5 linked regions of the Nothobranchius furzeri genome follow. The protein of the gene in region 1 interacts with the protein of each later gene in a pairwise test. Links are inferred from orthologs where the notes say so. Each region holds a gene or a part of one and is shown in the gene's direction. Other genes may lie near its edges. The genes, in order: khdrbs3, siah1, inpp5d, bromo adjacent homology domain-containing 1 protein and psmf1.

Region 1 (5,976 bases):
GCAGATACAGACACTCTGGCACAGCGCGTCGCCTTCCAACGCGCAGTGGCTCGTCACCTGCTGTCTTTTCCGAGAACTGCATTTTGTCGGTCATTATCACGTGACAGTGACTAGTCTATGAAAGGCATAAAATGTCACTACAGAGCAGTGAAGATGACTAGTAGACTAGTTGATACAACCCCTAGTGTATGTATGTGTGTGTATATATATATATATATATATATATATATATATATATATATATATATATATATATATATATATATATAATCAGCCATAACAGTAATAGCTATATGGGGTATCGGTATCGGCCTAAAATATTTATATTGGTGCATTCCTAATTTTCACCTTAATGGTTGAAAAGTTGTTTTAGGCTGTCACAATGCACATTAATTGGCTTACAAAATTCACAATATTTTTCCCCAAAATCGCCAATTTTAACTGGCAGGGTGATATTGCAGTAGTCTTGCGAGAAAAAAAAGCATTTTGGCATTTATACATTCACAAAGTACACAAACTTCACTAAAAGTCAGAAAATACTCAAAAGCAGAAACAATTTTTACAAATGTTAAATGATGATTGATGGTTTTGGATGATTCTAGTTTAAAGATCATGTTGTGAAACTGTAAGGTTTAACTCGATTTTTCAGATGACACTTTTTAGGATATGAGCTGTTTACCCTAACCCTAGAAATCTAGACCAACCGTAGCAGTAGCCAAAAGATTTTGTTCTACAGATCGGTATAGCCATGCTTCATTGTCACCTCTGCTGGTCTATCATTGGCCTGAACAGTTTTGTGTTTTGCCAATCACAGCCTTATGTTTGTTGGGCGGCCTTAGCTAGAGAGCTTCCACAGAGAAATATCTACAAAGATGGTGCGTCAAGAACAGCGCTAGTTTGAAACAACTTTGGCAACAACTTTGGATGATTTAGACAAGTGCTTTTCTCTGAGCCATGAAAAGCTAGAGGTACTTAGGTCCTCTATTTCAAAAATGATGTATTTGCTTCTTTTTCTTCTTCTACTTTGACGCTGTATAGCAGACGTCCCCATTGACTGATTTCCGTAGCAATGAATACATCACATTGCTCATTGCTCTGAATTGTCCCAGTGCTGCCTAGTTGTGTGTGGAGACAGTTTGAAAGGCAACCACAGATTCGGCTCCACGACCGATCTCTGTCTATGGGTCCTCATCAGACTATATTTACATTTTTAGGATGCCTTGCCAGCCTACTTTACCCTGACAAGCTGCTAACTATCATTCTGACCATTCCTTTCCAGTAAATGCATGGTCAGTCTTTGTTATTAGAAAACTATGGTAGAAGTTTATCCAGTAAGTAGGCCAAGGCGTGCAAGTCAGCATCTGTTTAATATAAGTTATTTAATTTTTTATCTTACGGCTCTACCTAAGTTGTATTTAATTGAAATGTGAGGATTATCATGGATAACTAAGACTAAATGGTACAAGCAGAGCACAGATGCCAATGGGTAAGTTAGCATGTACTGTACATCAATCATCTCTGCACTGTGTTATGCTAAGAGGACAAAAAGCAATCATTTAAATGTCAACAGCTACAGTTGAAAGTAAGATTGCATTTTTCCAATTTTTTTTATTAGCAATGTCAAAGCACCAAACCCCACTTTGGAAAGATCTCTGCAGTAGAACGTTGCTGTAAAACATCCTTCCATGATAGCTAGATGTTACTTATTAAAAACACTATGCAATAAAATCATGTCTGCTTTTGTGTTGTAACGTCCAGCAATGGTCCGTTTTTAGGTACAGTTGGACCATTCAACATCTATTCAACATCTATTCAACATCTGGTCAAACAGGAGACACAAGGCTGCATGTATTCCCTTTAAATTGGCCTGCCTCCATCCCACCAGCTGGAGCTCAATCCCTTCAGCTCTAAACACAAATAACGAAATGTCAACAATAATATTCTCTCCTCAAGGTCCAATCTTTCAGGTCTTCATGCCTCCATATAAGGAACACTCGCAGCTCGGATCAGTTGCTAAATCAAAGAATGATTTCCTAAACCAATAACGACTTCTTCTACACCTTATAAGCTAGATAATCATTAAATAAACATTTGTTTATTGCTACTTATAATAATTATGATATAATGAAATATTTCATTAATCTGATTGAAGTTTGAAATGAATGTTATGTTGCTTACATGGCAAGGTCATCACCATTTGCACTCACCCAAGAACAAGTAAGGTTGAGTTGAACTCGTGGCTCGTCATAAATAGTCGTTCACCCCAGTCAGAGCCTCCGTATCAAAGAAGGCGTGTTTCTGAGTTTCTTGGTAACATTTCTCAAACCTGTCAACCTCTGGTTGGCTACACAAAAGTAACATGAGAACATCAAAACTGGATCACTCTCAGGTTATCTATCAGCTCTAGAGACAGCTTTAGACCGGCCACCTGAAGCAAGACCCTCTTTAACCATCAAAGCTTTTGGCACGTCGTCAAAACCTTTTTGCACCTGCGACGCTGACACCGCAACAGTTCCTGCAGAATAAGCTGATATTGTTTAGACTCCTTAAGAGTCCCAGACGTGTGGTTTCATCCGTCTGTCGTGACCTGAGACATCTCTGGACTGAAGAGTCGGTGCCACGGTATTCTACAGCCCTTCGGTGCCAGAGGTCAGCTGACCTCTCTGACCTTCGGATCCACCAAGAGGGTCTCTGAGAACGGGTGAAGTAGACACACAGATAGCGTCTGATGTGCTTTGATAAAAACCAACTTCATAGCTTACCGCAAACCAAATTCTTTTACATCCAGAACTCAGCTCTCCTAGATACGGAAGTTCTGACTAACACCGCATTCACACACAGGTTCATACATCACATCTAGTTCCATCCATCACAGTAAATGTTAGTTAACGTGTCATGTTTTAATTGTTGGTAAAATAAATTCTTACTTTTATAAACCTGACTCTTTTCTGAAGCAAAATGAAGTGTGTACAATTCCTTAATAAAGAAAGAATCCTAGAATCTTCTGATAAACACACAAAGACCAGGCAGGGTTGATATTCTATATTTATATAGAGTATCACAGCTTATTGGTCATAAGTAGAGGTCATATGTTTATGAGCTCTTAAAGCACTCAATTTCCTAAACCCTACAGTGCTATAATAATAATAATAATAATAATAATAATAATAATAACAATAATAATAATATAATGGCTATTATTATCATTATTAATGTTGCTATAATGAATATTTTTGCTAATCTTTCTATGTGCTAACAGGAAGAGGAGCTACGACAGAGTGGTGAGGCCAAGTATCACCACCTGAATGAAGACTTGCACGTTCTCATTGAGGTGTTCGCCCCACCAGCTGAAGCTTACGCCAGGATGGGTCACGCTCTGGAGGAGATCAAGAAGTTTCTCATACCAGTGTGTTCTATTCACCCCTTTTGCACTTTTTTTCTCGCCCTTTGATGATCTATTTTTCTCTACTCTTTGGTATCAGTTTGAATTATTCGCAGCCCTCTGAGTAGTCATGGAGATCAGTCACTTTGTTTTCTAGAACTTGTAGTGTAACGCCTACTTCACACAGGAAGCATCAGCAGTGCAAACAGCAGCAGAACGTCGCTGCTTCACATCAGAATCCACTATGGAGGCGACTAAAACAAACCGCGACACGGAAATTTTCAGGCGCGTTCCAGAAGCAGCAGGCTATGCCTGCGCTACTAAAGATAGCATCAGGTTCTATTTTAGCCACATGGTGCTTTTGGGACACGACAATTCCCGCAGTTAACATAGGGCTAGACAGGAAATCACGTATGGAAACCGACACGATATCAATACTTGGATCTGAGTACTCGCCGATACCGATTACCTATACCGATAATTCTACCACACCAGAAATGCAATGAATTGGAATACAGGTTTTATTTTTTTCTCTGCTTTCAAGAGGAAAATAGTGTGAGGTAGATAAAAATTAAATATATTAATAGAAATGATCACAAAACTAAAATATTAGGTGAACAGAAAGGACAAGTTACAGCAAAGCCACTTTCAGACATCTGCATTGGCATCGGTTAACTTTTGCTGATACCAGTACCGGTATCTGTGCATCCCTCGTGTTAGGTTTTATACTGTAAGTAAGTAAGTATTGTATTGAAAGCCTGAGCACGCACTAGCTAAAGCTGACATCCACCAGATGTTGAAACCAAACTCCTGCACCAGAAAAAAGGAGAAGGTATGTATAAAGTGTGCTAGTCGGTTTTAGCGTTAGGTTGAAGGTGACTGATAGTTCATGTTTTAGAGTGGCTTTAGTCAGAGTAAACCAAGAACCAGGGATCGTTTAGTGATGACCTCTTTAAGACAATCAGCATATGAACTATAAGTTATAAATACGGGGTTCTGAATCAGAAGCAAGTCAAAAGCAGTTCATTACAAAATAAGAGAAACTAGAGGAGACCTCGTCGCCTTGGATCAACCTTTTCTGGCAGAGGAAACAGCACGCGGCTTATTTACTTTTCTTCTATTCATAATGAATGAAGTCTCCCATGCTCAGAGCGATAATGATTTACATTTCATCATTAATTATCTGCATACCCATCCAACAACCCCTTCTCCATTCCTTCTTCCCACCATCACCAACAACACACTTATCGACTCAGCTAATGTGACAATCATATTAGTCATTTGTGATTAAAGGTCCATTTTTATATTAACTGATGTCTTTTAATTTAGCGGCAAAAACAACTGTGTTAGGAGATAAAGGCCAGTGGGGTACGGAGGTCTTATCAGCAGAAGACGTGAGAGGATTTGCTGCTTCAGGAAGAACAGCCATGGCAGTACTGTAAAGTAGTACATCAATTAGATATTCCCAGGGCTGTAGGCCTGGAGATAAAGAACGTCATTTAATACAGTGTAATTGAAAGTGAGGCTTTTGCCTCCACTGTGTGTGTGTGTGTGTGTGTGTGTGTGTGTGTGTGTGTGTGTGTGTGCGGACATGATTCCTCTCTGTGTGTGTGCAGGATTACAACGATGAGATCAGACAGGCCCAGCTGCAGGAGCTTACGTACCTGAATGGTGGCTCTGAGGATGCCAAGGTGCCATCGGTCAGGGGCAAGTCATCCACCCGTGGCAGAGGGACACCTGTTCCAGGGCCTCCCAGGTAACTTGGTTCCAAATGCAAACTCCATCCAGCTGGGAGATGAGCGTTATTTACAGATAAGAAGCTTCTGGGAAAACCTTGTTTCTTAGTAAACAGGCACAAGTTCTTGTTTATGTAAAAAGGCCCAAATTAGCATTTTTATATTAAATAATCCTGGGTATTTTACACTAATGCTTAGTGTTAATTTGGTCTAATTGGAGTGGGAATTCATAAACTTGACAACAAGCAACAAATCTGTGCATTTGGGGGAGTTGTTGATATCCAGCTGTTATCTGGAGGGAGGTGGGGTACACCCTGAACATGTCACCAGTCCCATCACAGAGCCACATAGAGATTCATGAAACATCCATTTGACGGTTCAGAGCAGCCAGTTAAAGGCAAAGTTTATTAAAAACAAACACTTCTCACCTTTTTTTCCTTATTTTTGATATGTGATCACTTTAACATGCTGGCTACATGTGAAAATAATATTTCACCCATATTTCCTGCCTTAGCTGCCGATAAATAGAAAACACTCGGATCAGAAACCGTACATCATGTTGTAAAATCAACCTTCATGGACTCACCCACCTTGGCTCATGACAGGGACGGCGTTTGTTGGATTAGCATCCAGGGAACAGCAGAGAACGTGTTGGCTATTAGAAGCTAACCATTATCATTAGCAACTCCTCAACATGGCAGAACTTCTTCTGGCTTGTGTTGTTTTTGCAGGTAAACATCAACATTGCAAAGCTAACAGTCAGTGGTAGAGTTGAGATGCTGTTAGCTAATCAGAGGCGAGAATATGAAGAAATGAGTCTAAATGCTGTTGTCTTCAGCTCGCCTCTCCTCTCGCTCA
Region 2 (5,053 bases), on another chromosome or scaffold:
TGTTGTAAACGAATACCCAGATTTAAAATCGGAGAGGTCTTTGGCCACGTCAGCTAGCTGCTAGCTGTGCTGGACTGGAAAAGTTCAGAAGTCTGAATTTTTCTTCCGGCGCTGCTGAGCAGTGTTGGTTCTGTTCCCTCCTGTTTGGCCCGGTCCGTTATTAGAACCAGGAAAAGCAGGAACCTGCATTTCACCATAGCTCAAGCATCTGAGGAGAAAACATCGTTGTTTTTCCTCATTTCCTCCCAGCTGCTGCTGATTCTCTCTCTCTCTCTCCATTTCCTGGTCCCGGTCCATTTAAAACCTTTCAGCGTCTCCTCACAGAACCGCTTCGACCACAAACTCGATTCCATGGCAGTCGCTCTGCACACATCTGAGTTCACTTTGCTGCCTGTTTACCTGGAAACGGGCAGCAAAGTGAACTCAGATGTGTTGTTGGGAACGAGGATCCGGCTGAGTCGACGTGTTGGTGAGCGCTAATCCTTCCGACATTTATCCCGACCCTCGTGTTTTTTTTTGTACCTGACAGAATCAGTCATTTAGTTTTAATCAGTGTTTACTTCCTGTTGTGGGCGTGGTTTAGGACACACTGGTGTGTGTGACAACTTTGGGACTCTAACTTACCTGCTCAGATGTGCTCACCTGTAAATCACCTTATCTGCATTAACAGAGTCAAACATTTGAATTTGAAGCTAACTAAACACACATCGCTGTATAAATGTAGAAAAGCAGTCTGTCCTTTAAAGTTTAACCATTAAAATGGAATAAAACCATTAAGATCTTTAAACTGGCAGCAGTTGCAACATGAACGAGTTGTTCTTGTTCCCTTAAATCTAAACATCTGATCTATTTTTTATTTATTTAGTCAGGATCCTCATTAGTTACCGTGGTAACGAGCATTCTTCCTTCCATAAACATTACATTTACAACAATAAAACATAAGTCATTAGAACAATCATAGAAACGTTAGATTACAGGTTTGTGAACTGAATCCATGCTTTCGTTCTTTTTTTAAACACAGAAACAGTTTTGTTTACCTGTTTGTAGCTACGGTTTTCGCCGACAGCTGCCGGCTTCTTCAGGCTGACGCTGATGGTGGCGCGTCACAAAGATTTACAAAGACACAGCAAGAACACACCTAAGATTGTGAACTGAATCATGTGCTGTGTCAGCTAATGCATAATTGACATTTGAAATTAAATAGATTTTCTTCTGAAAAATGTCCAATCTTTATGTATCTTAAATATAAAGGCAGTTTATTCCACCAACATGGCTTGGTGTATCACTGATTTCTGTAATATTTTTGTTTTGGTTGAGGCGGTGTCGAACCCACAACCTTCCGATTACAGGACGAGCACTTAACTCGTGTGCCACCGTTGCCCAATTTTAGCTTCTTTCTGTCCCTCCAGCATCAGTACTTCCACATTTTAATTGAGTTTTAGTTTAAAGAGCAAGTCACCCCCAAATCAACTTTTTTTTGCTGATAAACTATATAAATGTGTGTTTAATTGTGCTGCAGACACGTGTAGTCAATAATTTGGTACTTCAGTGCATCTTAGTTGAACTTTAAATATTCTGCCTAAAACTGTGTGTGTGTGTTGTGCCGTGATCAGGTAAAAACTCTGCACTGCATTTTAATTTAAATCTGCCACCGCTATTGGCTAAGAGGTATGCTATGATGTAAACTGGTACATTATGATGTCACAATTCTGTCGTGAGCCTGTGTGTGTGTGTATTTGTTAGCAGCTCTGCCTTCTCAGTCTGCTAGGCAACAGCATTTGTTGCATTTTTCAAACATGAAGTGGGAGTGGAGTTAGACTCTGGTAGGGGTTGACTTGCTCTTTAAATAGAAGTGTAAAGGTGTTTATCGCTGTAACTCCACTCTTGTGTCTTTTATCAGAAATGAGTCGCCAGACCGCCACCGCGCTGCCCACAGGAACTTCTAAGTGCCCTCCCTCTCAGCGCGTGCCCACCCTGTCGGGCACCACGGCCTCCAACAGTGACCTGGCCAGCCTGTTCGAGTGTCCGGTCTGCTTTGACTATGTCCTGCCCCCCATCCTGCAGTGCCAGTCGGGACACCTGGTACGTATCGCCCCCATCAACCAAACCCCACAGAGCACCGACGTTCCTGGGTCATGTAGCCCTGTGACCCGGCCCAGATGAGACCAGAACCAAACCACAGAAAGTTAAAATGGCTTATTTTTTTAACCAAGATCTGATGGTTTGGTTAGAATCAGCTGCGATATGGCAAGCTGTTATGTCATATGTTTGAAGATTTTTCTTTAAAAATATCTGTTAAAACTCAATTTTTTCCAAATGTACCAAAGGATGCCTCAGCATTAATTAGTGCTCTCATCGGGATGAACTCACACTTGGTCTGGATGTTTTAACTTTAACCCATCCAGTCATTCGTGGTGGTGCGCACACACACTTTTTTTTTAGTGTAACTACTGAGCTCATATTTCGTCTCAGGTGTGCTCCAACTGCCGGCCCAAGCTCACCTGCTGCCCCACCTGCAGGGGCCCCCTGGGCTCCATCAGGAACCTGGCCATGGAGAAGGTAGCCAACTCGGTGCTCTTCCCCTGTAAGTACGCCTCATCAGGCTGTGAAGTCACTCTGCCTCACACCGACAAGACCGAGCACGAGGAGCTGTGCGAGTTCCGACCATATTCCTGCCCGTGTCCCGGAGCCTCCTGCAAGTGGCAGGGATCCCTGGATGCAGTCATGCCACACCTGATGCACCAGCACAAGTCCATCACCACACTGCAGGTCAGAGGTCACGCTTGGTGCTTTGAGCTCGTTTCCTGGTGGATTTTATTAATGAAGTCAAATCTCAAGATTTTACAAATAAATTTTACTTTTCAGGACCAAATTTTTCAGTCTTTTGTTCTAACGGCTGTAGTGATTTGTAGCAGTGCCCTCTGCTGGACACGGGTCACACAGTAATGAGTCTTAGGGTTCTGCTTCTGCCTGCTCACCCTCTGACCTGTGTGTGCATCAGGGTGAGGACATCGTGTTCCTGGCGACAGACATCAACCTGCCCGGCGCCGTGGACTGGGTCATGATGCAGTCCTGCTTCGGGTTCCACTTTATGCTGGTGCTGGAGAAGCAGGAGAAGTATGACGGCCACCAGCAGTTCTTCGCCATCGTGCAGCTCATCGGGACTCGCAAGCAGGCAGAAAACTTCGCATACCGGCTGGAGCTCAACGGTCACCGGCGTCGGCTCACCTGGGAGGCGACTCCACGCTCCATCCACGAGGGCATCGCCACGGCAATCATGAACAGCGACTGCTTGGTGTTTGACACATCGATCGCACAGCTGTTCGCCGAGAATGGCAACCTGGGCATCAACGTCACCATCTCCATGTGCTGAGGACTCCCAGGTGACGAGCATCAGATTGTAAAGGAGGGTGGGGGGTGCATTTTTTTAGGGGTCACGTCCATGCTGACCTCACAGCCCCACCCCTCCCCTCTGTGACATGGATCTGGACTGTGATTGGGCAGCAGTGAGGGCCCAGGCTGTTATGTATGGATGAGTGAAGCGCATTAGGACATACCTGTGTAGTGAAGACTTGTCAGACTCACCTGTGATTGGCTGGATTGTTTAGTTCTAGTCCCGTTTTGTTTCTCCTCATCCTGAAGGTCATGTCAAGGACAATACAACATGGACTCCTGGTCAGTGCTAACAAGCTAGCTTGCCAGCTAGCTTCTTTTCAAAAATCCAAATGTAGACGAACGGAGATCTGAGTGGCTGCTATCAACTCACTCATCCATAAAACCTCTTCCCAAACGCTCGTTTCACCTGTGACTGATAACGATTTAGACGTTGGACCGGACGGCTGCAGCACCAGAACCCTGGATCTGTACTAAGTGTTCATAAAACAGGCTCACCTGGTCTGACCCGGCCAGCTCAAAGGTCAAACTGGGACAGCCGTAGTTGATAGTTAATCGACTCCGAACGGGAAGCTCTGAGCCGGATCTTTACCTGCTCTATTTTTTGGACTAGCTGTAGTGTGCCGTCACACACGACAACACACCTGTCCTCTGCACCACACACACTGAGCAGGTGAGACCTGACCGAGGAACAGAAGTTTTTCAGAACTAGGAAGAGATTAAAAAACACTACATTTCACTTTAGTTTGGAGGTTTTATTTCATGCGTCTGTTTCTAAACTGTTTTAGTTGTTTTTGTATGAAAGGAGCATGAAAAAGATGGATCTGTGGTTCAGACCTGCTAGACTGTCGTTTCTCCTCCATCTGAACGCCCAACCTGGATTAGAGACAGTTCTTCTGTTCAAATGTTTATTATTACTGAATAGAGATATAAAGATCATTTTTGTATCGACTTTTAAAAACTAAAAAGCAGTTGTAAAATATGTGGCTAAAGTTCGGTGATTGTCGTTTTTGTTCTCCTGAAGGTTGATTTTTTTCTCCCAGAGTTGGGCTTTCATCTCTGTCCTCCTGTGGTCCGTCTCTCTGTCCTTCCTGTTTGTCTGCGGAGGGAAAAGTCAGTCATCTCTCTGTCCTCACGTGGAGTTCCAGTAATGCTGCTCTCCTTCAAGCTCATGACTTCTGTTTCGTTTGTCATTAAATAAATCTATCTTTTTCATACGTCCAGTTCTTCACTCGACTCCAGACGGAACGTTTCTGAAACCGCCCCATCCTTCTAACGGGTCGTTGGGTCCTAGATTCCAGGAAAAATGGATCTAAAACTCCCACTCACTCTGACATTCCCGCTGCACTTTAACAAGGATAATGGTGATTTGGACTACGAAAAAGTTAAAACTCATCTTCAGCATTTCTTTAAACATTTTCTGGACATAATGGCTCTAACACTGCCCCCCAGTGGTTGACTCTCACATAACAGCTCTACATTAAATCAGTTTGTTAATCTAGTTTAATCTGAACAAATCATTACATCAACACTTGAGCAATTTTATCATTAATGAAAAAAAATCTGGTTTAGTATCTTTAAATTTACCTATTTACCTCCTGCTTTGATTAGAAATCAGACATTTTTAAATATTGAAGGTTAAAAGGTCAGATTTTGTTTT
Region 3 (5,976 bases), on another chromosome or scaffold:
TCTTTTTGTTGTTTCCCAGTTCGAACACAGTTAATTCACCTGTTCAGCAGCTCATCAAGCTCTGCAGAAGCATGTTGAAATCAGGTGTGTTTATTTTTTTTCAACACACCTGATTTCAATCAGCAGGTGATTAACCGGATTCTGCAGAGCTTGAAGCTCTTCACTCACATTCATGTCATTGTCCACTCGTCTCAGAAAGATCAGTAACTGAGCGGTGTCGGATGCATCCGTGCTTTCATCGCAGGCTAACGAGAAAAAGTCAAACTCAGTTCCTTTTGCCTCTAACTGTCTCTTAATATCTGATGAAACATCTTTAATTCTCCGTACCACAGTGTTACGAGCCAGGCAAATATTGGCAAACTCTTGCTAATCTGCAACGCCTGCCTCCAGAGGGTTAAATAAAGAATAGATAAATACATCAGTTTACTTGCTAATGTTTTAATCTGCTAATTCTTGCAAAAGAACAGCATGGTAGCACTGTTGCCCTGCAGCAAGAAGGTTAGAGGGTCACATCCCAACTGGAGTGTTTTTGTATAGTTAACATGTTCTTGCATCTGCAGACTCCTCGCACAGATGTATGTCAGGCTAATTGGTGATTCTAAATCAATTCTAGGTTGTGCGTGAGTGTTTGGATGGTTTTATGTATTGTTTGTCTCTGTGATGGACTGGCGACCCGTCCAGGGTGTCCTCTACCCACCTCCTACTTGGCGACTGCTGGAGAGAGACGCAAGCTTCCTGTGACCCCACTCAGGGTTGAGCAGTACAGAAGACAAACTAATGAATACATCTTCAAAAACGGCTTTTGATTTTAATGCCACTGAAAGACTTACAAAAACAACTAAAGACCTCATTTACACAGCCCAAGTGCTGTTGTCAAGCGACTGAGCTCTGAGCTGCTAACGCTCTGAACCATGAACACTGCTTCCCTTTACAGGAAGCTGAGCACATTGTGACGAAGATCAAACAGCAGCAGTACCAGGAACTCCTCAATAAAGACCAGCTCAACATGGAAAGGAATGATGGAAAGGTCTTCTTGCATTTTGGTGAGCACCAGAGAATATAAATAAACACAGATGTGCATTATCAACTTGTTTTTTATAATAAGCCATATTTTTACTGGTTGTAGATGAAGAGGAAATCACATTTCCACCCACGTATCGCTTTGAAAGAGAAACAAGGGAGAAGTATGCCTACACCAAGGCCAAAGCCACAGGGGTAAGCCTGGGTTTAGTCAGGAGTCTGTCCCTTGTGAGGCTTCTGCTTCAAACCTCTCAAAACAGCTTCACCAAGAATGCAAAATACAGTTTATCTCACTTAATTTCATTGTCATGGAAGCATTCACCTTCTGGAATGAAAAGGACATGTATGGGGTCTGTTTTAGGCTCATCTGGTCTCAGTAAAACATTTTCAGTGTTTAGACCAAATGATGGCATCGTCAGCTGCCAGGAATAAAGTAGTTTGTTACACGGTGAAGTGTAGTGAGGACACAAGAAGCATGATGACTTGGTTGATAAACAAGGAAAACCAATTTTATTTCCTCTGGTCCAAACAAAAATCAGAAAATCCCAGTTGTCTTCAAAATGGCCACCCATCCAACTCTCCTCCAGTCACTTTCAGAGAGAAAAGATCTCTTGCCATACCCAGTAGTGATGTGTCGGTCGCGAACGAACCAGCTCTAAGAGCCGGCTCTTTGAAGTGAACGACGGGAGCCGGCTCGTCATTGGGAGCCGTCCCCTCCCCTCTTGCTTTGGTGAAAGCTACAGGCGATTGGTCAACATGTGTAACTGCGTGTCCAGACTGCCCAAACACAGAGCAGTAGGGGTGGATCAGACTCAGACACACAGCAGAGCACATGTGGGTGGAGGGAGACGAGAGGGAATGAGGAGGAGGAAAAAGGAGAGCGAGAGAGGAGAGTGCGACGAAGACGGTGAGGAAATGAGCGCCAGCAGTCGGAAAGTGGAGATTTCTTATAGTGTTCAGTTATTAAATCCATAGAAATGATAAATGTTTGATATATTGCATTTTTTTATATGAGTAAATTATTATACATATAGTTTTGCATTATTTTGGTTATAAATGTACTCTACGCAACAGAAAATCTGAGGAGCCACTTGGGAGCCGAAAGAGCCGGCTCTTTTTGGTGAGCTGAGCCAAAAGAACCGGCTCTCTAAAAAGAGCCGGCTCTTTTTGGTGAGCTGAGCCAAAAGAACCGGCTCTCTCAAAAGAGCCGGAATTCCCATCACTAATACCCAGCAGTCCACCTATATACTCTCTGACCCCCCCTCCAATTCAGGTCGGCCAATCACCTCAGTCCACTCAGGCATTTCACTATATAAAGGCAGCATTAGAGGCGGGCTTCCTCTTTAGCTGCTTCAAAATGGCTGCCACACAGGACACCTCCTGAGGGTAACAAACAAATTCATGTTTAACACAGATTACATCAGTCCTGCATGAACACTCTTTAGTTAAAGAAAACATGTTGCTTCTCAACATAGTTGGATTAAAAAAAGATATCAAACATCAGAAATAATTGTCGACTAATAAAACTTTTCACGTGTTTCACAAACATCTTCCAAAACTGTTTTTTTCATGAACACTGACATGAACTGCTTAACTAATGACTGTTTCTTCTGCAGACCAAATACAATTTGCCTTCATGGTGTGATCGCGTCCTGCGGAAGTCTTACCCTCTGGTTCATGTTGTCTGTCAAGCATACGGTGCGTTTTCCAAACCCATAGATGCTTTTTCTAAAAATTAAAAAAATCCTCCGAAATCTGGGGTCGGAGGTCTTGACTGAAAAGGGAGAGCTGTGGTAATCACAGAAGTTCATTGTTGGATTTTGTGTCTCCACACTATCAAACCCTTTTCAATCCCAGATGGGCTTTCGTTGATTTAACATTTTTGGTCTTCAAATGTAATGATTCGAGAACCAAAGCTCTGACATTGACCACGGCTTTCCACGGGAGCCGTCAAGAGCACATTACTGCAGCAGCACGTCATAGCTGCTGATAGGAACCGCTGTGGTCAACAGAACCTTTTCCACTGGAGCCGTCAGCAGCGCGAGTCGGCCGCGTCTCAGGAGCAGCATGTCGCGGCCTTTACGCGCCGGTTCTATTTTCTACGCGCGACGCCTCTGAAACGGGTCAAGTTCGACATTTTTGGGGAAGGAAAGACAGGAAATCGGACGCGGAAATGGAGAGAATCTACCGAGATTTTCAGAATAAAGAACGTACTGCCTTCCGGTTGCTTGACTTTTAAAAACGTTACTAACTGTGCGTCCCCGTGAGAAGTTATCACCTAGCTAGCGGTCTCCTTTGTTTTTCAGGTCCGTATTGGCGATTATAAAACGGACAGAACATAAAACGCAAACCATGTTGTAATTTTCTCCTGCTTGTTGTTGTGTTTACTGACGAAGTCACTCGTGTGACTTCGTGCTCGGTCGGTGACAGCTGCTCCCCTGCTGCTTCGCGTCTCGTGGGAAGGGCCGAGCAGCAGCTTACGCGAGCAAGACGTGCTGCTGCAGTAACGTGCTGCTGACGGCTCCCGTGGAAACCCGGGGTTAGACTCTTCAGACTAATGTGCAGATTTCTACCGATCTTGGTTTCTTCAGATCATTTTTTGTCTTATTTATTTCTTTATTTTCTCGTTCTTGGTTTGCTCCGATCAGCGGACCATGTTAACGTGCGTTGGACACTAACTCTAGGAGACATGACAGGTTCATTTAGGTATTGATAACTGGAAATTAACTGACCTAGTGTTAGGCTGACGAAAACATCTCATTGCAGTGAAAAAGATTTAGCTTTAACTTTGATCTGAATGAAAACTAACACCAATTTGCAGCCACAACACGTGTCTGAGAAGATGATTACTTGTTATAAATGGTTTCGTGGGAGAACATGTTTTTATTGTGCTTTAATTGTAATTTGGTTTTGAAACTGTTTCCACGGTAGGATGCACAACTGACATCATGACGAGTGACCACTCTCCGGTTTTTGCCTCATTTGAAGTCGGTGTTGCGTCACAATTTGTCTCCAAACAAGGTAGTATCACCAGTTGACTTCAGGAAGGCGGAATGAGCTTCAGACGTTGGTTTGACGTCTTCTTTGTTCTCCTTTTTTAGATCTCAACAGCGCTCCTCAAGGTGGAATCCAAATCATGAACTGTGTGGCCATCTTGTTGACGAAATCAAAGACTAAATTCTTCATAGAGTTCCATTCCAGCTGCTTGGAAAGTATGTCTGATTCTCTCACCTATCTCTGGTTTCTTCTATGAACAGTTGAAGAATATTAAAACTAGATTTTCCTACAGAAATGACAACGACCTCAGAAGGAGAGAACACAGAACAAGCATGCGGCTCCATAAAAGTTTGGTTCGGGAACCAAGTAGAGGTACAATAAATTAGAGGTAGTTTTGGTAGTAAAGACTGTTAACCATCTCATAACACTAGACACGTGTTATCTGTCTGTCAAAGCTCACCCCCATCATATCTGACCCCGAGTACCTCTTGGATCAGCACATCCTCATCTGTGTCAAATCAGCCGACAGTGATGAGTCGTACGGTAAACGGAGACTCTGTAGTTTAATGCCGCTCTGACCGAAGATGACTCTTAAGTGTGTGGTATTTCCAAAGGGGCGGGTTGTATCGCACTGAGAGCTGCTCAGTTCTGCTACAGAGAGTTTCACATCACTCTGACTCACCACGGAGAGAAGACTGGCACGCTGACCGGAGGCATGCAGCTACGCACCACCGAGTTCAAGCCCACTGAGAAGTTATACGGTGAGGCTGGAAACCAGCTCAGTGGTTACTTGTTAAACGTCTCCTTGGTTCTTAAAACTGCCTTTTGTGCTTTATTTTGCTTTCAGATTTCATTAAAATTGAAAGAGAAGATCCCGTTCCCTCAAAATGCAAAGGGGGAGACCTCAACAAGTACGGCATTTTCACATTATTGCAAACCGGTTCTCATGCATGACTCCAACATACAGATGTGCCATCATGTCTGCAGGTCTTGTGCCACTCCACCCCATGATATTTCTAACCCCAGCTACATGGGAGTGTCATTCAAAAGTGGAAACGTGACGGATAAGGGCTGGAGTTACAGCATGACACCACGTAATGCTCCGTGTGGACAAGGGAGTAAGGATTGCAAGAAGAGTGGTTATGATCTGAGTACACGCAGTCCCACTGGAAAAACTTTCACCAGGTACACCCCTGATCAGAACTCCAGTCAAGCTGTTTCATTTAATCTCTGGAAAACATCCTTATGATAAAAGACTCATTACTTCCTAAAATCTGTCTCTCAGTGTTAAAGATCTTGTGTTTACTCAGCCAACTCGTGAAATTTTTGCTTAAACTCTGTAAAACTTGCACCCAAGAGATATTAGAAAAAGCTTCTCCAGTCTGACTTTGGATGAGCAGTGAAGAGTATAAAAATTTCTCAGTGGCTTAGTGGTATGACCGTCCCTCCTGGGACATCGGGGTTCAAATCCACAGTCAGGTCATACCAGAGACTTAAACCAATGCCTCCCCCCTTGACAACTCCACTTTAAGGGGTTGGATTGGGTGGTTAAACCACCAAATAGTTCCCAAGCACAGCCACTGCTGCAGCTCACAGCTCCCCACAGGCGGGCCACGTCTTTGTGGCCCCCGAACCTTGTGCTTGTGTAATGAACTGCCAGCACTCACCCACCATCCGCACTGCTAAAGATAGGATCGGGTTCTATTTTTGCCACGTGTCGCTTATTGGATACGTCAATTTCCGCAGTTAACATAAGGCTAGACAGGAAATCACACACAGTTTCAGTGTAAAGTCAAAGTCAAAAAGTTTTATTGTCAGTTCTACCACATGTGCAAGACATTCATGGGCAAGACACATGACAAGAATTGGTGACTGTGGTCCTTCGCAACACGAGTCGCGCTACCTTCACCGGTAATATCAAAATAAAAATACTGCAGTGATGCAATTTCATATATATGA
Region 4 (6,557 bases), on another chromosome or scaffold:
GAAAGGTTATTTTTGCAAGTGATTTCTACTACTAAAAATATATTGCTTAATGATATACAATAATATCAGTATTGCTATTGGCTTTACTGTTTGTGTCATTTCATTTGGAGGGTTTTTTTCTCTCTTTTTCCGCACATTTAAACAAAAATTTGTAATACTGTGATCATACTAACCATAACATATTTTACACCTATCACAAAGGATGTTTTTTTACAGTTTTATTCCATAATTGTGAGTTAGTAGGGAGACTTGATGTTTAGGAATAAGACTCAACAAGTTCACTAGTCCCTTCCTGCTGGGCGGCCGTTAGACCGAGAGCGAGGCAGGGTGTAGTCATTTAAACGTAGATGTAGGAGAGACTGTTGGCAGAGGATGTATAAAGACAGACTGCCATAATGAAGCGGTAATGAAGCGTGGAGTAATTAATCTGGCAAAACTGGATATCCAATGTATGACCATGTGGGTTTGTTAGACTGTTTTTACAGAAGAATGATTATTGCTGTTTTCTCCTTTTTTATTGCGATTCAGCAGCTTGACCAATGTAATCTTTACTGCTGCTGTGGGTGCATTTTATACCGTCTCTTTTAGTTTTAAAAAAAAAGGAGCTTTCTGGGGATGCAGCAGCTTTTTAACACAGTCAAAGAAAGAGAAGCGACATTCCACTCGTGTCTTCACAGCAACGTGATTTTTTTTGCTATACCAATCGATACAGTAAGTGACACTAACCAGCTTTGTAGTTTTATTTCTCATTGTAAAAATGCCTAAAATATGTTTTGAGCTCTAAGTGTATGCATGTTATTATGCCAGTCAGGGGAAATTATCCTCTAACAAACCAGACAGTGCTACTTAAAAAAATCTGAATTTTCTTTACTGTAATGCATTTTTTGACTTGATAACACGGCCGACTCAGTCCCCTTCCCTGAAAGTCTGATACCGTAATTTCCGGACTATAGAGCGCACCTCAATATAAGCCGCACCAACAACAGAAAAAAAGGTTTTCTACACACACACACGCCGCGCTCGAATACAAGCCGCGGCGCAGCAGCCACATGCAGGTCTCCGGCGCACAGCGCATGTACGGCCATAACATAAGATAATTAGACAGAAAGACGCTACACGGAAGTTTTTCGTTGTTGTTTTAATTCAACAAAACAAATTTTAAACACGGGTGAACGTGCCTTCAAGTTTAGAAAAGAAAACAGCGCTGATAGTGTTCATATTTCTGGATGGTTATAAAATAAAACAGAAATGACACGTTATTACCGTAATTTGCATGTTTAGAAGAAAAGAACAGCGCTGACACAGCATTAATAAGCCCTGGATGATTAGAAAATTAAAACTGCACACAAAACATGCCTGGTTAGTAAATAAAACACACTTGTCTACCAGAAGTCATTCGCTCTCATCTTCCTCTTGCGCACTAAAGCCATTAAAGTCCTCTTCTTCAGTGTCGGAGTTGAACAGCCTCAGAAGAGCTTCGTCACATACCGTTTCTGTGGCGATGTCCGTGTTGCTGTCATCATCCCCGGGTGAAGCTGGCTTGAATGAGTTCTTCCCGCTGCCGTCTCCAGCGCCGAACCATGGATTCATTCATGCCAAGCTTACGTGCGGCAGCACTGTTTCCCTCCTTTACTGCCAGATCCATGGCCTTCAACTTAAATGCGGCATCATATGAACTCATACGTGTAGTTACCATGATGAGAGAGTATGGATCGTGCCGGCTGCTTGCATGTGCTAAATTAAAATGAGCACTTTCTTCGATTTCCACTTTTGACTTCCACCTGTTTCACTTTCTGCTAAAGCGCCCCCTAGTGGCAGGTGAAGGAAAATCTTCAGTAAAGCCGCACCTCATTATAACCCGCATGGTTCAAAGCGTGGGGAAAAAGTAGCGGCTCATAGTCCGGAAAATACGGTACATTGATTATTTGACACAATAACAGAATCGTTTGAGCTGCTCTCCCACGCCGCTAAAAGCTTGCTGTATACTTTTGAATTGAGTTTGAATTGATTTAGTAACCGTGCGTTCTGCTCATTCAGCTTTTCAGACTTGCTTCATGTCATTTCCCCCAGTTTCTTGTCATTAAAAGATTTGTTGTTTGTATCAAACAGCCAAGTATCTGCTTTACTGATGGTCGGGTTTGATCTTTTCAGATTACATAACCCTTCACCAAAGAGGTAAAAAGGCCTCAGAAGCTCCTCTGCAGCCCGAGATAAAAAGAAAAAAATCTTTACAGACCAGATGTGATTTTACATATATATATATATATATATATATATATATATATATATATATATATATATATATATATATATATATATCATGTCTTAGTTGGTCAAACACTATTTTAACAGGTAGAAAAGAAAGGAATCGGTTAGTCGGATGAAAAAGAAATATTGCCATCCATCCATTTTCTGAACCCGCTTGTCCACGCAGGGTCGCGGGGGGGCTGGTGCCTATCTCCAGCGGCCAATGGGCAATCAGGCGGTATACACCCTGGACAGAGTGCCAGTCCATCGCAGGGCAACACAGAGACACACAGGACAAACTACCATGCACACACACACACCTAGGGACAATTTAGACGGACCAATCAACCTAACAGTCATGTTTTTGGACTGTGGGAGGAAGCCGGAGAACCCGGAGAGAACCCACGCGTGTACAGGGAGAACATGCTAACTCCATGCAGAAAGATCCCAGGCCAGGAAGCGAACCCAGGACCTTCTTGCTGCGCAGCCCAAGAAATATTTCAAAAGTGTAAACTCAACCGTTATTTATGAAGTTAAAGGTCACATTCCCCCTTCATTACCAAAATACGCTGGAATGATGGATTCTTGGTGAATTATGGTCAAACCAACATTTCTAGTTGATTTTTTTTATTCATATGAGTGGAGGAAGTGTTGGTAAGAGCCAGAGAGGTCAAACAAAACAGATTTCCTCATAAATGAACATGGGTTTTTATCTACATGCGTGTTCTCCCCATGCATGCGTGGGTTTCCTCTGGGTACTCCGGTTTCCCACACAGATCACAGCATTTCCTGTATACAGGTTATATAAATTGTAAGTCGCTTTGGATAAAAGCGTCTCCTAAATAAATAAACATAAACATGAAGCTAATCTGAATCTACATTATGCTGCCCGCTGTTCTCTGAAGACAAGGCTTTAAAAGAGAATTTTTAATGTTGCAACATAAACTTTCAGAAGATAAAAATGAACTCAGATGTAAAAAAGTCAAATTGCAGAATTGAGTTGGCTACAATTAGTTGACTTACCTGCCCGATGTAGTTTTTAAAGCTCCTGGCCGCGTGGTTCTGATAAAAGATTGTGATCAACAAAAGTCATGAGTCACTCCTCTTTTCTTCATAATTTCGCTTCCAGGAGATTTGTTTGCGATTTTGAAGCGTTTTCAGATTTGAGAAAAAGGAACAGAAAATTGTCCATTACTCTGTTGTTTGATTCGTTTTGAGGCATTTAGCTTTTTATTCACATAACCCCACAATTTTAGTTTTTTATACCGTTTAAAGGTGTGGGACACTGCAAAACCAGTGTTTTATTGAAAATTTGGGAGCATAATCGGTCACTGAGTTTTCCATGCAGGCTAAGCATGAAAATAGTCTCCTACACCTACGTATCTACTGCATTAGCTTTTGAGAGCAAACAGATGGTGAAACTCTAGGATTTGAAAAGCCGGACGAATCTACATCACACTGTCACTTAACGCTAATAGACTCTCCCATCTTAACTCATGACAGGGAAGGCTGTTTTTGGTTTAGCGTGCAGGAGTCTGTGGTAGAGTCATGTTGCTGTTGGCCAATCGGAAGAGAGATGTCCAAATATCAGGAAATAAGTGTCCAAAATCATCTCTAAACTTCCGTTCATCTCCAAGATCTTGGAAAAGGTTGGGGCTAAACAACTCACAGCTGCTCCTGATGAGCATAACATGATAGTTTCCAGTCAGGTTTTCGTAGAGCTCATTCCACTGAAACAGCTCTTCTTAGGGTCTCAAATGACCTTCTGACTCACAGTGATGCACGGGACTGTTCTGTTCTGGTCCTGCTGGACCTGACTGCAGCCTTTGACTCTGTTGACCATCACTTGCTACTGGAGAGGCTGAGAGACTGGGTAGGCCTATCAGGATCTGCTCTGGAGTGGTTCTCCTCTTATCTGTCTGAGCACTCCTTTTCTGTGGCCGTCTCCAAGTTTAGGTCTTCCACCACCTCTCTTACCCATGGTGTCCCACAAGGTTCTGTGCTGGGGACTCTGCTCTTCTTCCTCTATAGCACATCCTGAGCTCATTCAAAGGAATCTCCTACCATCTTTATGCAGATGACATCCAACTGTACATCTCCTTTAAGCCCCATGAGATGTCTAAGCTTACACATCTGCTTAGACTCTAAAAACCTGGATGGCTGGGAGCTTTCTACAGCTGAATGAAGATAAGACTGAGATCCTCATCTGTTCCCCAGACAAGCTGGTTCCCAAAGTCAGAGATTCTCTTGGTCAGCTTGCTTCTCACACCAACCCCTCTGTCAGGAATCTTGGTGTGACCTTTGACCCAGCTCTCACCCTGAATTCTCATGCCAGAGGTCCAGTGATCAAAGCCTACTGGTTGTGCAGCACCAGACTAAAGACCAAAGGTGACCGATCATCTGCTGCTGTGGCCCCCAGACTCTGGAACTCTCTCCCCCTGAACCTGAGATAAGTGGACTCGGTGGTCTCCTTTAAAAAGCAGCTGAAAACTCTGCTGTTCAAGCTGGCTTTTGCATGACCTTCGTCGCCCTCTCCTTATTCTGCTCTTATTTCACCCTGCCCGGGATCCACTGATTTCCCTCTTTCCTATTAATTTTCTCTCTCTTTCCTTACATTTTCTTCTTCTTTCTTCTCCTCCTGACACTACTACTTATGGGCCCCATCTAGGTGTCCTGGCTGGGTTATTAGTTACATTTCGTTGAATCTGTATTTTTATTGCTAAAAAAGATGCTAAACTAGATAACTATAGTAGTGATTTCTCCGGAGTAAAGCAGTCATGAATGGGTGTTGGACCCAAGGTGCAGGTGAATGAGCAGGAGACAGGCCGGTAAACTCACAAATGCTTCAAAGGAACCAAAACGAACTGGCAGGAAAACAAAACGAGGAACTGGGATAACTGGTAGCTAAAACAACACAGACAAACAGCAAGATCAGACAGAGTGGAAGAACCAGAGAGTTTTTAAGCAGTGGTGGGCTATTTAAAAACAGGGGCAGGTGAGCTGATAACTGAACCAAAGACCAGTAGTTCGTGACAATTTCAGCTTTTGGAGTCGGACCTCGACTTTCCACCGAATGTGCAAATGTAACATGAACGCCTTGGCAAAGGTAAAAATAACAGAAAATAACCCAGAGACCTTTTGGATACTTCCCGCCATCTTTCTCCTAGCTTGTAGTCGCGTGAATTTGTAAAATCACGTGTGATCTTGCAATTCTCCTGTGATGTGATCTAACAGGACCGGTTGCATGGAACCCATTCACTGGCACTGCACATCTGAAACTCTTTCGGTAGGAAGGGTGGTGCCTCTGTGGTCGTGGTAAACTCGCATCCATTACGTTGTGCGCCGCTTACACGTTTGGTGGAAAGCCAAGGTCATTCTAATCACTATAGACATTCATTACTAAATGTTATTGTTTTTTTCTGTCAGACTATTGTCAAATCAATAGCTAACTACATCTGTTATTAAATAACTGCATAATTTGGTCTTTGATTTCAACGATGGAGAGGAGCATACCTTGTACGTGTAGTGTATTGCAGCTACACTGACCTATACATTATTTAAAGGTGTTGTTCACTGAAAAAACATTTTTAATGATTAGTTCTGATTATAGTCAGACACCGTGAGTTTTTCGTGAAGGCTGAACGAGAAATAGTCTTCTACACCTATCTCCTGCCTTAGCTTCTGATAGAAAACGGACGGTGAAACATTAATTTGAAAAGTCAGATAGCTCTACATCACGCTGTCACTTAACATTCATGGACTCACCATCATGACTCACAATGGGTAAGGCTGTTGTTGGTTTAACATCAGGAATCAGCAGACAACGTCCCGACTAGTAAAAGCTAACCGTTAGCATTAGCAGCTTCAGCAGAGTGAAGAACTCCCCCAGACTTGTGTTATTTGTGGAGATAAAGCATCCACATTGCAGAGGTAGAGTTGCGTTGCTGTTATCCAATCCAAGGCAAGATGTCCAAATATCGGGAAATACGTGTCCAAATCAGCTGGTCGGTACTGATCCAAAAAATACTGGGCTTTTTTGTCCTGAGTACGGCTTGCAAGGCATTCATTATATCGGAGACAACTGCAAATGTATTGATTTAAAGATGTTCCCACACATTTAAATTATGGGCAAAAACACAATCTGCTTAATAGGATAGGAGAAATACAGCATGATCAGCCGAGTTGGTGATCAGCCAATCTAAAACTTAAAAAAAATAACTGTACATTTTCTTGGTTTATGAACCCACCATTGCTCAGTGCTAATTCATGCTAGCAATAACAAATCTTTCTGGAGGTTTTTACATCCAGAA
Region 5 (6,597 bases), on another chromosome or scaffold:
GAGCCTAAGCCACACCCACCCACTTCTGGTCCATGGGTGTCCCACTGCTCCCAAAAATGAATCGGAGTCTATGAGCGGATAAAAGTTATTTTCTGACCCTGTTTGATATGTGCCACGGATTTTACATTTGACGTCCGTGAATTTTAAAGACACATTTATGCCAAGACTCTGTTATTCGCTATTTTCGAACAGTGATTTTAGGTTTTGTGTGAAAAGACATTTAGGACTACAATTGTGTCTCACCATATTGACATCATTGACATGAGATTCAGACATGGAGAAGAAAATGGCTGTGTATTTTGCAAGCTTTAACGCTCTCTTCCAGGATGACAGAAGGAGCATTAAACATGGAGAAAACCAGGGCAAGCATTTCAGTCCATGTAGTAAGTGCGTAGTAAGTTCCTCTCCGTGGGCTGCCACCTTACCGTGGTGGAGGGGTTTGAGTGTTTCAATGATCCTAGGAGCTAAGTTGTCTGAGGCTTTTTGCGTCTGGTAGGGTCACCCATGGCAAACAGGTCCTAGGTGAGGGATCAGACAAAGAGCAACCCAAAGACCTCTTATGATGAATTATATAAATGGAAACTGTGTTCCCTCGCCCGGACATGGGTCACGGGGGCCCCCCTCTGGAGCCAGGCCTGGAGGTGGGGCATGTTGGCGAGCGCCTGGTGGATGGGCTTTCACCCATGGAGCCCAGCCGGGCACAGCCCGAAGAGGAAATGTGGATCCCCCTTCCCATGGGCTCACCACTCGTGGGAGGGGCCAAAGGGGTCAGGTGCAGTGTGTGACGGGTGGTAGTCGAGGGCAGGGACCTTGGCTGTCTGATCCTCGGCTACAGAAGCTGGCTCTTGGCACATGGAATGTCACCTCTCTGGTGGGGAAGGAGCCTGAGTTGGTGTGTGACGTTGAGAGGTTCCAACTAGATATAGTCTGACTCATCTCAATGCATGGCTCTGGCTCTGGAACCAGTTTCCTTGAGAGGGGTTGGACTTTCTACCACTCTGGAGTTGCTTCCACTGAGAGGCGCTGAGCAGGGGTGGGCATATTAGTTGCCCCCCATCTTGGTGCCTGTATGTTGAGGTTTACCCCAGTGAATCAGAGGGTAGCCTCCCTCCGCCTACGTGTGGGGGGACGGGTTCTGACTGTGGTCAGTGCTTATGCACCAAACTACAGTTCAGACTACCCACCCTTTTTGGAGACCCTAAATTGAAATTCATTGCCGTCCACATTAAACCTTAGTCTTAAAAAATTCACAACATGAATAAATGTCATTAATCGTCTTAAAATTTCTTTCATTTGAAAATACAAATTTTCAGAAAAGGCACTTGAGCCATTGCCCTGCCTTCTTCTCAAACTTAACACGCAGGAATAGATTGTGGGTAACTGTGGGTCACCCAAGTCCACATTGATACAGACCTGGGAAAAGTGCAGATCAAGGGTGCAAAATGAGCTTGGTCACTTCCTGCACTTGAAAATCGGGACACCCTATGCACTTGCACCCCTGGCTGGGAACATGATATTAAAAGGCACAAGTGTGGAGGTGTGAGTATTGGGACTGGGCCATAAATACCATAAATACACAATAATGTGATCAGGCCCTGAGTGTGTTGCATCCAAATCGATCTGGGCAGCAACATTTCCCAATCATTCTGATAAATAGTTTGTGACAATCCTACTATTATTACTTTGGCAGATTGGCAACACATTTAAATCCTTGAGGATTTGAAATCAGCTCATCACCTAACCCCTAAAGCAGACACAAATGCTGTCATGGCCTGATAACATGATAGGTATTTAATGTGCGGATCTCCTACCTCATGGAACACATCTCCTGAGTATGGTGAAACTCCAAGATCAAGCAGTGCCAAACCCTCAATAACTGCAAAAAACAAACAACATCTGTGTTATCCTCTATGGTAGAGCTAATATCATCAATCACCTTGTAATGATCTGGTTTTACTTTACAGGGGCTGAAGCATGACACATGTAGCATCCACACACATTATTCAACATTTTTATAAGAAATCAGCACTTGTCTAGGCTTGTCTGGATTTGTTTTTGCAAGCCGATCAGGACTCTCCGTCTTTTGTATCGGAACTGGTTTGACTTGACAGCATCGTTCAGACGAAGATGCAGGAAGGAACCGGAATTTTAACCGAACAACTGGGATCCGGACGACAGCCGCACCCGCGCTTACCTCGTTTCCAGGCGGTAATGGGTGACACCACCTCCACCCGCTCCGCGATTACCTCCGCTAGAGAGGATCTGTAAAGAGCCGCGCGGATTGTAACGGCTACAACTAAAAGTAGAGTCAAGGGAGCCGCCATCTTCACAAGGAAGCGCTTTCCGCCCTGCCGGTACAAGGCATGATGGGAAATGAAGTATGTTGTCTAAAAAGACAACTACATAAATAAAACAAAATAAAGTTCACATAAACTATTATTCGTCTTCTATTTTACTTGAAAAGGCATTACGTTCTTGTAAAATTCTGATCATAATTATTTTTTGTGTTTGGTTTTTTGCACATTTTATAATTTTTTTTTGGATTTCATTTAGAACACAGATGTAATACAGATCATTTTCATTACTTTTGTGTAAAAATACTCAGTACAAATATCTACAGAATGTATCTATAAGAGTGTTTCTCAATGTCAAGGCGCCTGGCCTTGCAACGAATTTTTTGCGGTGCTTTTACATTGAAATCCCCAGACAGGAAGTGCTAGAAGTTTCTAGGTTGCAAATGGGAAGACTTTCGTTTTCTTTTCGTCGTTTTGATGCTGTGTTGATGTCGAGACACTAAAGAAACATGGCAGGCTTGGAGGTGTTGTACACCTGTGTCGCAGGTAGCATCAGCTGCCCGCATGACGCCGTTGTGTGCTTCGTTCACTGGGAAATGATAAAGAATGGATACAGGTGTATCGGGTCTGGAGATGATGTGAGTAAAATCGGCTGTTTGAAGCTGGGTCAGATTCAGATGATGCAGAAAATGGACAAACAGTAACCTGACCTGTTGACCTGGTTTGTTATTTTTGTAACAAGGGTTTCACTATTTATGCTTCATAAAAGAAACGAACAGACAAAAGATCAGACATGAAATTACACGTTATTGAAAAAGTACAAGGTTTTAATTAAACTAATAAATGCCGATAGATCAGCAGTAAGATATTGTACAGAATAATAATGTCATTTACACAGTTTCTGACGTGATTATTTTATGTTATTGAAGGAGACATTAAGCAATCGATTTTCTAGGGGAACTTGCGCACGCTAACCTGCTATTTTGAAGTTAGCTTTAGCTTTCCAAAAGGGTATACTTTTCTGGATTTAGCTAACTTCGCTGGATTATAATGTCTAGGAGACGTCTTTTACTTATTTTCAATCAAATTGTTTCATTTAAACCCAATGATTTAAAGTAACGAACTGTCAAAACAAAACATGTCAAGTCATCTTTTAGCAGGTTAAACTAACTCACTCTGTGGGGCTGGGTCACATTGACGCACATCAGATGATTTAATAAATCTACTATTTTTTGTTCATTAACCCTTTGTTTTTTCTGTTATTCGTTTCTGTTCTTGTGTTTTTCATCCATCCTCTTCTGCAGCCTCGTAGCAGTGATAAGAAGTCTGAGCTTCTACCTGCTGACTGGAACAGCAACAAGGAGCTGTACAGTCTGCGTTATAAAGACAACAGCACAGACACACAGATGCTACTGAAGGCCATCACGGTGGACTCTGCACTAATATTCAACCTAATGGTAAACCCAGAAAGAGGGGAAACCAGTCTGCATGCTTCATGTGTGAACTCCACCAGTTTGCTACATTAGTGATTACCAAAGCTGAGGTTGGGTCCTTGTTGTTTGCAAAAATAAAGGGTCTTCTCTTACAGAAGACTATGAGATTAGATGAAATCTTACTGTAATCTCATCAAGCATTAAAAAATAACTGCATGGTGGAAGTTTGCACTTGTATCTGTTCAATAATCTTTTGAGTTTGTTTGTAGATTTCCCTGAAACCTGAAGGGCCTTTTAAAAAATGTATTTGTTTTTTGATAAGACTTGTAAGTATATTCTGTTATTTTTCTGTTTGTTTATTTAAAGAACCTCAACACGCAGCAGGTGTCAGACTTGACAGTAAACATCAGCGATCATGTGAATGCTGATCAGCTGCACACATTTGACAGGTTAGTGTGTAATCTGTTAGGACTTGGCAGAGAAAAAAAAACGAGGAAACCAGTGTTAAGAGGTGTGGAACTGAAAAACCATTTTTAACGATTATTTCTGATTCTAAGTGTTTCATGCAGGCTGAACATGAAAATAGTCTCCTACACCTACCTCCTGCAGTAGCTTCTGATAGAAAATAGACGATGAAACTCTAGGATTAGAAAAGCCTGACAGATCTACGTCACACTGTCACTTGACATTCATGACTCACCCGTCTTGACTCATGACGGGAAAGGCTGTTATTGGTTTAGCATCCAGGAGAGAACGTCTCGGCTAGTAGAAGGTAACAATTATCATTAGCAACTCCACCGTACAGCAGAACTCCTCCAGGCTTGTGTTATTTGTGGAGAGAAATCCTCAACGTTCAGAGCAACCAATCATTCCTGTCAGACACCACTTCAAATGCATTGATTAAATGAGTTTCCCACACTTCTAAAACCTGTGACATAAGGAGGTGATTCCATTACACAAATGTAGAAAAACGGGAAGTCTTTCCAAACAATGTATGACATCAACTGATAAAATGTTTTAGCAAGTGATTTATATTTTATAAGACAAGTTGTCAATGAGACAGGAGTTATTGTGTTATTTTAATCTTCTATTTTGTGGACTTACATTTATTCACATTGACAAGTAACTTATTTCATTTGAACCATTTACATTTATTAATCTGTATTTAATAATGTAGAGAGGCCAGAATGTGAGAAAAACAAAGTATCATCTGTAAAGAGTTAAAGTTTCAGTTTTTTTTTTATTTATTTTTTGCAGTGTGTTCAAAGACATGGAGGGTTTGTCACAGATGGTGACGGCTCAGCTGCTGCCTCCCCAGAAGAAGGAGACGGAACAGAAAACAGAGAGGAAGAGTAGAAGAGATGAAGAAGATGAGGCACAAAGAAGAAGGGAAGAAGGCAGCAGCCCTCTCCGTATGCCCGGCGGACATCCTCACCAGGGAACACAGCCTCACTGGTTGGTCGTCACATACAGCTGATCAGTATTCTTCTCACATAAATTCAGAAACTGGTCTTATATAGTAACCTTGACCTGAAAGCTAAAACTGCCCAAATTATACAAACCAGACAGACAGAACAGTCACTCACTCCTCTTCGTCCTCCGTCCTGGTCAGATGAGAAGCGAGGTGATGTCAACAGCACTTTATTGACCTCATGCTGTCGCCTCCCCGCTCCTTGAGAGATGGAGTGTCAAGGGGGATTAGGAAGGACAAGGACTTGATTATGGCTAGACAAAAAAGATGAGAAGATGAGAGGCTGAAGTGAGGAGAAAACAGAGAAGTGGAAGAGAAATGAAGACATGATGAATGTGTAGACTGGGTTCGCTGCTGAGGGAGATGTTAGAAAGACGAGTGTGCACAGGGAGCAGAGGAGGAGGAGGTGATAGGACCAATACAGAACAGATGAAGGTTGGATAGAACATATAGAACATTTAAAAATACAGTATAGTACAGGGAAACGGAGTAATATTCTCCTGTTTGAATTTACCATCAGTCAAACACGGTGCTCAGTTTCTGGGTCGCTGACAATGCTCTAAAAATAAAGATTTGCATTTATAGTAAACTTTTATGATCAGCAACTGAAATTCTCTTTCCCAAAACTAAAGCACAGCGTTCTTTGTCTCATATTCAGATCTTATAATACATTGTCTCAAATTTCTGCCAAATGTGGCTGTTTTTGTTCCAAAGATGCTTAAAGCCATCTCTTCACATCCTGATTTCCCTGGAGTCTGCTGTGGAAATCCCAGCCGGCTGGAACTCTGTTGTTTTACTTCAGTGTTCTGATTAGTTTGTTAGAAAACAACAAAGCTAAGGCTATCTACTGAATATGTGCTAAAAAGTGGTATTAAAAGATCAAAAATTACACTCAACAGCCTTAAAATAAGTTATGTTTATCGCAAGAAAAGCAACAAAAGGTTTTTAAGAAATATTGGCAAATTTTAACCATAAAGGAAGTTATAAATATGCTAGATTTTAAATAGTTTCATGTTTGTTTTATAATTATTTTATTTTTAGGTTAAAGAAACCAGACTGACGTCTGTGCTTTTGTTTCTTTTCAGGCCCAATCCTTTGGATCCTCCGTTTGCAGTTGGAGGAGCAGACCTGGATCCTTTTGGGTGAGTCATATCATCCCTCAGTCCTAATTATTTTAGTGTTCTCTCAGAAAAAAAGGTATTAGCAAGACTCCGAAATAATCTGTATATTTTTAAGGAAAATTTAATGTCTTAACCCTGACTGGGGGCTCGGAGTAGAGCCGCTGCTCCTCTGCATCGATTCGAGCATCCAAGGTGGCCTCCCCCTGGAGGTTTTCCGGGCCCGTCTGGAAAGACCCAGAGCCCACTGTAGGTATTGTATCTATCCTGTCTGGCGTAGG

The links.
Region 2: the proteins of khdrbs3 (region 1) and siah1 interact in a two-hybrid assay, tested with the Homo sapiens proteins (3 studies listed by BioGRID and IntAct). The link is inferred for Nothobranchius furzeri from reciprocal best matches to the Homo sapiens genes KHDRBS3 and SIAH1.
Region 3: the proteins of khdrbs3 (region 1) and inpp5d interact in binary tests that used the Homo sapiens proteins (3 or more experiments, as listed by UniProt). The two-hybrid records come from large-scale screens. The link is inferred for Nothobranchius furzeri from reciprocal best matches to the Homo sapiens genes KHDRBS3 and INPP5D.
Region 4: the proteins of khdrbs3 (region 1) and bromo adjacent homology domain-containing 1 protein interact in binary tests that used the Homo sapiens proteins (3 or more experiments, as listed by UniProt). The two-hybrid records come from large-scale screens. The link is inferred for Nothobranchius furzeri from reciprocal best matches to the Homo sapiens genes KHDRBS3 and BAHD1.
Region 5: the proteins of khdrbs3 (region 1) and psmf1 interact in a two-hybrid assay, tested with the Homo sapiens proteins (2 studies listed by BioGRID and IntAct). The link is inferred for Nothobranchius furzeri from reciprocal best matches to the Homo sapiens genes KHDRBS3 and PSMF1.

What each region holds. Positions count from the first base shown.
Region 1 is NC_091751.1:1,069,036-1,075,011, reverse strand, and holds part of khdrbs3 (KH domain-containing, RNA-binding, signal transduction-associated protein 3), read left to right. Parts: intron 1-3,259; coding exon 3,260-3,406; intron 3,407-4,998; coding exon 4,999-5,138; intron 5,139-5,976. UniProt on the Homo sapiens protein: RNA-binding protein that plays a role in the regulation of alternative splicing and influences mRNA splice site selection and exon inclusion. Binds preferentially to the 5'-[AU]UAAA-3' motif in vitro.
Region 2 is NC_091744.1:81,659,240-81,664,292, forward strand, and holds the end of siah1 (E3 ubiquitin-protein ligase Siah1), read left to right. Parts: intron 1-1,900; coding exon 1,901-2,082; intron 2,083-2,472; coding exon 2,473-2,769; intron 2,770-3,001; coding exon 3,002-3,373; 3' UTR 3,374-3,791; downstream 3,792-5,053. UniProt on the Homo sapiens protein: E3 ubiquitin-protein ligase that mediates ubiquitination and subsequent proteasomal degradation of target proteins.
Region 3 is NC_091756.1:60,979,620-60,985,595, forward strand, and holds part of inpp5d (phosphatidylinositol 3,4,5-trisphosphate 5-phosphatase 1), read left to right. Parts: intron 1-934; coding exon 935-1,043; intron 1,044-1,126; coding exon 1,127-1,215; intron 1,216-2,636; coding exon 2,637-2,718; intron 2,719-3,951; coding exon 3,952-4,041; intron 4,042-4,121; coding exon 4,122-4,232; intron 4,233-4,309; coding exon 4,310-4,389; intron 4,390-4,472; coding exon 4,473-4,560; intron 4,561-4,631; coding exon 4,632-4,778; intron 4,779-4,864; coding exon 4,865-4,928; intron 4,929-5,004; coding exon 5,005-5,202; intron 5,203-5,976. UniProt on the Homo sapiens protein: Phosphatidylinositol (PtdIns) phosphatase that specifically hydrolyzes the 5-phosphate of phosphatidylinositol-3,4,5-trisphosphate (PtdIns(3,4,5)P3) to produce PtdIns(3,4)P2, thereby negatively regulating the PI3K (phosphoinositide 3-kinase) pathways.
Region 4 is NC_091742.1:23,400,251-23,406,807, forward strand, and holds the start of bromo adjacent homology domain-containing 1 protein, read left to right. Parts: upstream 1-2,316; 5' UTR 2,317-6,557.
Region 5 is NC_091743.1:68,642,050-68,648,646, reverse strand, and holds the start of psmf1 (proteasome inhibitor PI31 subunit), read left to right. Parts: upstream 1-2,712; 5' UTR 2,713-2,803; coding exon 2,804-2,932; intron 2,933-3,598; coding exon 3,599-3,751; intron 3,752-4,093; coding exon 4,094-4,176; intron 4,177-4,984; coding exon 4,985-5,182; intron 5,183-6,283; coding exon 6,284-6,340; intron 6,341-6,597. Other genes in the region: pigu (phosphatidylinositol glycan anchor biosynthesis class U protein), read right to left, coding at 1,812-1,876, 2,195-2,324. UniProt on the Homo sapiens protein: Plays an important role in control of proteasome function. Inhibits the hydrolysis of protein and peptide substrates by the 20S proteasome. Also inhibits the activation of the proteasome by the proteasome regulatory proteins PA700 and PA28.